Nothobranchius furzeri: one gene and its partner. The main gene of each other region encodes a partner of the protein of the gene in region 2 in a complex. Links are inferred from orthologs where the notes say so. Each region holds a gene or a part of one and is shown on either strand. Other genes may lie near its edges.

Evidence for each region.
Region 1: the proteins of tsen34 (region 2) and tsen15 are in contact, whole or in part, in a crystal structure (PDB 6Z9U), measured with the Homo sapiens proteins. The link is inferred for Nothobranchius furzeri from reciprocal best matches to the Homo sapiens genes TSEN34 and TSEN15. Residues at the interface, in NP_001070914.1 of Homo sapiens: Pro251, Leu252, Arg253, Phe254, His255, Ala256, His257, Tyr258, Pro265, Glu266, Asp267, Thr268, Ile269, Pro270, Leu271, Gln272, Leu274, Ser283, Val284, Arg285, Lys286, Thr287, Leu289, Leu290, Cys291, Ser292, Gln294, Val300, Tyr301, Thr302; in NP_443197.1 of Homo sapiens: Leu70, Lys74, Trp76, Thr108, Pro109, Ile110, Thr111, Ala112, Ser113, Leu114, Ser115, His116, Asn117, Ile119, Arg120, Leu123, Leu141, Ile143, Val151, Tyr152, Tyr153, Lys154, Leu155, Thr156, Asp157, Gly158, Phe159, Met160, Leu161, Pro162.

What each region holds. Positions count from the first base shown.
Region 1 is NC_091751.1:70,463,304-70,467,563, forward strand, and holds tsen15 (tRNA-splicing endonuclease subunit Sen15), read right to left. Parts: upstream 2,771-4,260; 5' UTR 2,650-2,770; coding exon 2,575-2,649; intron 1,490-2,574; coding exon 1,408-1,489; intron 1,247-1,407; coding exon 1,111-1,246; intron 1,038-1,110; coding exon 869-1,037; 3' UTR 583-868; downstream 1-582. UniProt on the Homo sapiens protein: Non-catalytic subunit of the tRNA-splicing endonuclease complex, a complex responsible for identification and cleavage of the splice sites in pre-tRNA. It cleaves pre-tRNA at the 5' and 3' splice sites to release the intron.
Region 2 is NC_091753.1:55,691,952-55,696,319, forward strand, and holds the start of tsen34 (tRNA-splicing endonuclease subunit Sen34), read right to left. Parts: upstream 2,859-4,368; 5' UTR 2,573-2,858; intron 1,453-2,572; exon of another isoform or gene 1,370-1,452; intron 460-1,369; 5' UTR 451-459; coding exon 202-450; intron 1-201. Other genes in the region: eif2a (eukaryotic translation initiation factor 2A), read right to left, coding at 3,751-3,816, 3,930-3,995, 4,171-4,284, 4,352-4,368. UniProt on the Homo sapiens protein: Constitutes one of the two catalytic subunit of the tRNA-splicing endonuclease complex, a complex responsible for identification and cleavage of the splice sites in pre-tRNA. It cleaves pre-tRNA at the 5'- and 3'-splice sites to release the intron.

The DNA of each region.
Region 1 (4,260 bases), on a different chromosome or scaffold from region 2:
TTTATAGGATTTTGTTGCAGATGGCCGACACCTAAAGCCGATTATTAGCCCGATATATAAATCCATTTTAGCAGCTCACCCATTGTGAAATGAACACTCACTGTGTGCTATATTAATTAAATAAGTCGAACCTCTTAAGATTTTTTAACTTCAAATGTAAAACTAACTTAAAACATAAAAAACGGTGTGTTGGCGTCCTTTTTTCACTCCAGTAGTGGCAGCAGTTGGCCCCACCGGTGCCTGATTTATTTATTTATTTTAATCGGCTTTCAAAAATAATTTTGACCGACGGCCAAATTGGCCGGCTGATATTTGGGTCGGCCGCTACTTCCCTGGTTCTTGAATTCAGCGCTGCTAATTCCTGCTATCTGATCACCCCCCCCAGTAACCGGAGGGTTGCAGGATCAATCCCCCGTTGCAGTCGTGTCCTCGAGCAAGACTTCCAACAACACAAAAGTCAGTTTTAATAAAACAAGCTTGGAGACATCATAGTTTGATTTGGGAGAAGGTTTAAACCCGGCTGCAGATGTCAGCCGTCAGGCCCCGTCTGCATCTGCTGCTCACTTAAAGAATCATCACAGCTGGATCACAAGTGATGTTTACTTTGTGTTCGGATCGGATATCAAAGACATAAAAATAACAGCAAAGTTAGTAAACCTTTGGTTTCGCCAGACCATCAGCAGCATCCTGATGTGGGACGTTCAACCCGCACACCGGCACCAGAACCTGGTGAAGGCCCACGTTGAGGTCACGCTCACTCTTGTGGCTCATTCTTCATATTCTGAACTTGGGCCACAGGCCGGACCTCCAGCCTGTCAGGGTGCTGGTTTAAATGCACCCTCCTCCGCACTCTCCGCCTACACATCCATCACTGCTTTCTTCTCCGCTGCTTCTGCCGACGACCCGCATCATGGAAAAGTCCCACGGGGGGTTCTGGAGTCACCAACCCGTCGGTCATCCTCTGATAAACCAGGGTGGAGTCGGACGCCACGGCACACAGCAGCAAAGGGAACCCGCGGTCCAGAAGGTGGCGTATGCTGCACAGCAGGGACAAAGGCTCTGTGACTGAATGTAAGCAGGGATGTCGGTTGAAGTCTAAGTTTTTCTCACCTCCTGTGGCTCAGGGAACGGTGAACAGGCAGAGGCAGAACCGTCTGAACTGGACCTCCATCCTTCTCCTTGGCTTCCAGCAGAACCAGCTGCAGCTCTGGACTCTCGGCATAGGTCACCTTCGTCCACTGGCGCACTGCAGAGGGCAAGAATCAGAGCGAGAGAGATGACCGAGTCAAGAGGAGGTCCTTTTCATTTCTGTATCACGTCCGCAGGAGGTTCTCCTTGGCCCGTGTGGGCCGGTTCTACCTGCATGTTAGAGGAGAACAAACCCGAGCCGAGTCGGGCCTAACTCACCCTCAGTGAGGTCCATGAACACCAGAAAAGCTGCGTGCAGCTGTGTGCTGTCTCCAACCTCCAGTTCCTTCATCTGCTGGTACTAGCACAACAAAGACTCAGAGATCCAAACACCCGACAGACTGGACTGTTTACCTCATACGTCACCCTTTCACTACCTCGTTACCACACTCGGGACCAAATGTGAACTTCCTTCTCCTTTTGAGTCTAAATTTCAAAGACCGACAGTCTGAAACTTAGCCAGGATATTGGTGGATGCTTCCACCCTCAGGCCCGTGGTCCATAGACCTCCACTATGCTATGCTTTTCCACTTCCCCCTTTCCTGTAAACATCTACATAACCAAGCCTCTACCATGAGTAAGAGGGTTTTAGGTGTGGTGAACAGCCTCGGAGAAGGGTCAGGTGAGTTTACCTGGTGTGGATGAGTTCAGACTGATTGAAGCAAGAGTGTGACAAACGAGCCACCTGTCCAGGTGTTTTCTGCTCTCTGTAAAATGTTCTGGGGTTAGGGAAGACATCGGTGCATCCCTGATTGAACTAGCTTTTTGGCCAACCAGCACGCGCCAGGCGGGCTTGTTCCTCGGTTCTGCGCTTGGCCCCCACAGGTGGGTTGGCCAGCCGACGGACATCCGGTGCGGGTTCACCGTGGGTTGCCCTCGTTTATCTGTGGGATTTGTCGAGTTCGGGTATTTATTTATGTTTTTTCATTTGCCACGATGCCCACAGATCAGCTCTGCAACCGGTTTACGACGGACCTTTCAGGGTCCTTGAGCCAGGCCCAATATATTTCCTCCTTGGTGTACGGGGGTCAGGAGATGGTGTCCGCAGATGGGCTTCATGTGGAAACTCATCACATTTATGGCCTCAGGGTAAAGAGCTGCCCACAGCCAGGTCACTCTGAGGCTAATAATGTCACATCAGTAGAATAAAAAATGCTAAAAATTGGATGTTACAGTTTTGATCTTATTTTACTTCTTTCTTTATACATTTACATGTACCAATACTTTTTCTGACACGTTTTTTAACGTTACTAATGAAATTTGAGTAAAACGACCCGTTAGTACTGAAGGATAACATATCAGATGTGCCTCTTCTCTAAGGTTCGCTAGCGGTGCCAGAGGGCGCACTGGTGACGTCATGCTTCCGCCACCGGCTCCTCCACTCACCACCGGGTGCTGCAGGATCCAGTTCGGAGGTTCGGTCTCGCCTCGCTTCTTCGTTCCGTCCATCACTTCCGCCATGTTTGTAACTGAACGTTAGAACCGAACATCGTATTTAAACGCAGGAGGGCTGAAGCTGAGCGGCTCAGCACCAGAGCGTTGGTGGTGCGTTACAATAGTTTGTCCGGGTGGGAAAAGGAACGCTTATATTTGGTTCCGCAAACCGGAAGAGCATAGGAAAATTACCGCTGTGTAATATTATAGTGCACCGTTTTATTTGAGGAAAACCGTGAAAATACTTAAAAAATAAAACAACAAACTTATTTAGCTTGTAACAAATTTGACTTTTAGTTTAGTAGACCGTGAGTCTGCTACAGATTATTAACCACAGGGCAGGGGGTCAGGACTGTGCTCAAAAAGTGATGTTACTGATCCATTCTAAAAGAATGTCAAATCATTCAAACAAATTAGATTTGTTATTCATTATTTGAAACTGACTAGTTAATAAACAAAATGTTTAGATTTTCAGAATATCTTCTTTTATATATTAATGTGTTGAAATGTAGAAATAAACTTGTGAAAACAAAGCATTCTTATTTAGCAAGCATGGCATTTTTAACAAACATATTTACACGTAAAGTGCCAGTGTGAATAAATCGTATGGCTCTTCGGTACTTTCATTGTGTAAAAGTAGCTCACGGGCCAAAAAAGGTTGGAGACCCCTGATCTAAACAAAGAGCAGAAGTCTAAAGAACGGCAGATTCAGACGTAGCTGTGAAATCCAGAAACAACAGCCCGATAAGCTCGTTTCACTTGCAGTGAACTCATTTGACTTTGAGGCCTAGGTCCTGTTTGAGTCCCACGCAGAACAATGTGAACACGTGGGTAGGGCCAGATGTGCCCTGGATGTAGTACTGGAATGTTGCACTAGGGGGCACACAAGATCACTCAGACCAGATAGAGCCGTTTTTGTGGGTACAACCAGAACCTACTTAAGCCCCATTCCCATCTGTACCGGGTCGGCCCGGGCCGGGTAGCCCCAGTCGGCCCCAGTCTGGCCCGGTTGTTTCCACACATCCTTGTCTTAAGCCCATGTGGGCTGATTCTACCCACCAATCAGAGGCTTGCTCTAATGGAAGGTGTGAATTTGCTGTCAGCAGTGGGTGTGTTGGCCCTGGTCGGCCTGAAGCAGACCCCCTCGAGAAGAGGGCTGAGAACGAGCCCTGGTTGGCCCGGAAAAATACCAGGCCACCCAGATATGTAAACAACCTACGCTACCCGGCCCGGGCCGACCCGGTACAGGTGGGAATGGGGCTTTAGGTAGGTCACTTTGACTTTAAGGCATGCTACTTTGACCACCCTATCGGTCTTTATTAGAAGGAAAATGTAATGCTGTCAACATCAGCGAGGCTCACAATGGCGACGGAAACTGTCATGAGATGAAGATAAACTGCTACACTGTCTATTAAACAAGAAAACATCAATGGAAACTGAAAAGAAACACAGAAAGAGGATAAAATGTGTGACGGAAGGTCGTGTTTTATTCCTACTGATAGAATAACAAAAGCACAGAAACAATACTTTTATTTCACAAAGGAAGAAAGCAGTGTAAGCAAACCCTGAAAACATGGGATATCAGTACTGCTCCACATATGAAGAGAAGAAGAACGCCACAGGAATGATTGGTCATTG
Region 2 (4,368 bases):
AAGTCTAAATTACGTATGATGTCACAGGGGTGTAAACATTCTTACACCCTCCTTCGTGACATTTGACTGAATTATGACGCTTTCTTGAGTCTGCCCGGTATTTTCTGTTACCGTTGGTAGTGTGTGATGTTTCTTGGGATTGTGCCTCACAGGGAGAGGCACTCGTTATCTCACAGCGACAGTAAAGTCATTCATTCAGACCTGGTTCCGTGGAGGAAAGGCCGCAGCGTGGCGCTCCCTCAGCAGTCTCTCCTCCTCTGGCAGCAGCAGCAGTGGTCGACCCAGTTTGAGGTTCTGTCTGGGGGCTCTGGGCAGTGAGCCGAGCAGGGCCCCCACCACACTCTGAGACCTGACGGTCCTCAGGTCCTGAGCACGCCACAGGAGTGGGGTGGAGTCACAAAGACTGAGAGCCACTACAGGGTCGGAGCTCTCCTGGTTCTGGTCCTCCATCAGCAGGATCTGCCAATCAGAACGAAGCCACGTAAACTATCTGATTTCTTTAAACAACACATAATCACCAATAAACTAGGAGTAGGCCAGGATTATCCCACATAATTTCACTAGTATGAGACACTTGGAACAACGGTAGTGAGGAGCTAAAGGCATGCCCATAACTGGAGGGTTGCAGGTTCGCCTCCCGCTCAGTTTATTGCAGTCGTTTTCAATTCAAAAATACTTTATTAATCCCAGAGGGAAATTGATTGCTGTAGTAGCTCAGAATAATAATAATAATCAAGTCATCAAAGAGTTGTTGTATATTACAACGGCTGTTGGCAGGAAGGATCTCCAGTAGCGGTCAGTGTTGCAGCCAAACTGAAGAAGCCTCTGACTGAAGACTCTTCCGTTGTCGGACAGTCTTGTGAAGAGAATGCTCAGGGTTGTCCATCATTTTCTTGATTCTCTGGAGAATCCTTCTTTGCATTATCTCCTCCAGCAGTTCCGAAACTGACGAAACTCTGGCTGAGTCCTTGAAAGGGCTTGGAGTTCCTCCATCTTGTTGGCCAGTGATCTCACATTGCCCATTATGATCGATGGAAGAGATGGTTTGAATTTCCTCTTTCTCTGTCTCCGTTTTGCTCCCGCTCTGCATCCACGCTTCTTGCGTTTTAGCTCATTTGGGATTTTTGGCTTCAGCTGAGGTATTATTTCAGCCTTTCACATGTTAATCAGCTGCTCCCGATTGTAAACCAGCTTGTTGCCGTGGTTACGCATCATAACAAATGCTCAAAAAGTGAAAAAAGCTAAAAAAATAGCAGTAAAAATCCTCCAAGCTTCACAGCACCAGAAACAGAAAAGTAAAGTGTCCAAAAAAATACAGTTTTTCTTGAGAAACTAGAAGAAAAAATACCCAAGAAAAGGCAAAACTTACATATAGTCAACAGAGCTACTCCAACATGCAGCCACCCAGAGCAGCGCCGTTCCGGAAAAACTTTGTACCTAGGGAAGACACCCCCCCACCCCCCACCCCGCTCATGGTGGTTAGAGGAACTGACGGCACCCATGTACGGCAAGCTGGCCTCCGTCAGTGCACCACAGGAAGGTGTTCTGAGAAAACATCCTACCCATAGGCTAATTTTACGGTGTTTTACATGACACTAACCCTAACCCAAAAAATCAAGTATCAACGTCAATAAAAAGTACTAATACTTACTACTGATCTATTTTCCTGCAAATATGACAAAGGAGTAGCATTTCCTTTTTGTGTTGCTCAGGAACAACAGGTAGGACGGTTTACGGGGTAGGAGAAGTTCCCAGAACACCGGCTGCGGCTACAATGTAGCTCATCACCACCAGTGTGTGAATGTGCAGGTAAACAGGCATGTTGTAAAGCACCTTGGGGGGCTGTAGGACCCCAGAAGGAGCTATATAAATAAAGGCCATTTATCACTTTACTTGAATTGTGCCTTTAATTTTCTGTAGGTTGAACAAACGTTTACAGCGATTATTAGAATTAAGATTAAGGTCAGAGTGAGTGACGTCATCAGCTGCTGCTTCAAGGAGGAAATATGAATCTGCACTAAAAACTGAGATTTCACAGGAACAGTAAAAAGTGTCTAAAGTCTGCCTCATTGTGCTGCAGTTAGCATTAATACAGGGTACGGTGGCACATTATCACTAGATATCACAACGATTCCTCTTTACTGTCGGTAAGGAGTGGAGGCAATTTACCAATTATTTCACCATGGTAACTAGAGAGAGAGTAATATGACTCCATTCACAATCTGGTACCAATAATAATAATAATAATAATAATAACATCCTGAGTTTGTTAGTATTTGTTGTAAATAAGAGCCCGGGTGACCAAGACCTCTGACCTGCAGCTAGTTTACTATGTAATCCCACTGATTAAGGTTAGGGTTAGGACTAGTTAGGGTTTGTTGACACAAACTAACTAGCACTTTGGTTCGGTCTGATGGACCCGAGGCTTTCTGTCTCACGCATGCGCAGACTTTGCGGATTTTCTAACCGGTACAGTCTGACCCTGCTCTCAGACAATCCGAGTCCTGGTCTGGTTCTGCTCAGAAACCGAACCTGAACGAACTGGAGAGCAACCTTTTACCAACTACCTTACCAGCAAGTGCCTCCTCCGCGTTTGGCTTTACGACCTGCCGTAAACCGCTTCGCTTTTGTTACAACTTTATTGAACGCGTAAGTTAACAGCACAGGCACACGTTCCTCCCAGCTGATCCACTGTCAGGAAACTGGAATGTTATTTCAGATAGTTCAGATCTGCCTAACTGCTTTAGCAAAACATAATAGTCATGGCATTCATATTTACTAAATAAGCATTAATAACACCTCTAATAAACTCACTACTACTATAGATCCATCTGTAGGTTAGGCAGACATGCGATTTAATAAAAACCAGCTGGTATTTTTAGTACAACCTTGATTATATTTGTTTGAAGGACACAAAATCCTATCACCATCCAACTAATACCAGTTTCTACTATAGCTGTACTCACTCCTGTTCCATGAGGTCAACATACAAGTAGAGGAATTGTTGGTAAAAAATCATTTTCCCAAAGGAAACCTGGCTTTGCTGCTTCCTGGGCCCTGAAGCAGGTTTGGTTGCTGACCTTCTATGGCCTGTTCTAACTACGACCATTAATGTGGTTTTATTGTTCTTCGTGAAGTTTATATGACAGGTTCAGCCATTTGGGTCATCACTGACTGGATGAATAAAAGCACCACAGATATAAGGTGACACGATTCAAGGCAGTAACAATAAACCACCGGATCTAAACTAGTTGTTTAATTATAACCAGTTTGACTCAGCACTCACTCGTACACCCTAACGCATGAGGATCTGAGGACAAATGTGTTCTGGTGCTGCAGCAGAACAGAACTGGACCTGGTCCAAAAGAGAATCTATCGCTCAGTATTTTTTTAGACAAAAAAACAAACAAACAAACAGACGCTAATAAGCAGGGTCAGGCTTTTATTATGAAAGGAACACTGTCAAAACAAAAGTCTTTAGATTTGTAAACCACTGCACTTCCTGTTGCCTACACTTCCCAGAATGCCTCTGGGCGGTGCTGCCACAGGTAGGAACGAAAGCAGGTCTAATCAGTTCACCTTAGCGATTAGCCCCGCCCCTTAGAAACCGCTGCCCTGATGAAGAGCCACCAGACCTTTGGGTCAGCTCAGTCAGACCCTCCCAAGCACATCGCCACTCCTCACTGGGTCGCTGTACAAGAGGGATGCATGATGGGACGAGGGCGTGGCTGAAGGACTGAGTGGCTTCTTCTACTGTCCCACCTGCAGATCCCGCAGCTCCTCCAGGAGCTGCTCCTCCTTCTGGATCTTCTCCAGCTGCAGGAAACACAAGGTTCAGATTCTGGTTCAACAGGGTAACGCATTATCTACGGTTACAGGAGGGCGTGGTTCTAAAGGCAGCTACACTGCTTTTGCAGAACCTTCCAGACCTGGTTCTTCTGCAGAACTTTCCCAGACGCCTGTTGCTCCTTCAGCTCATCGATGGCCTTCAGTTTCTGGAACACACGGATGCATAACTGACTCTCTGGCCAATCACAACGCAGAACACCACCAACATCCTCCAATCACCTCCAGGGACGGTGGCCCTGAAGGACCAGGATTGGCCACGACTGCTGTGTTTGGTTACAGCGGCCTGTCGTACAGACACGAAGACTCCGACATGCTCTTTACCTTCTTTAGGTTCTTGATCTTCTTGTCGGTTTCTGGATCCCCGTTGGTCTCTTCTGATTGGCTGCTGCTGACGGGGGCGGAGACAGTTGATGGTTCAGATTCACGTTTGGCCTCCTGCAGACAAAAACTTAGTTACATCTTCACCTGGCAGGGTTCAGCAGGTAGGAAACAGCCTGCTCACCTGCTTCGCTGCTTTCT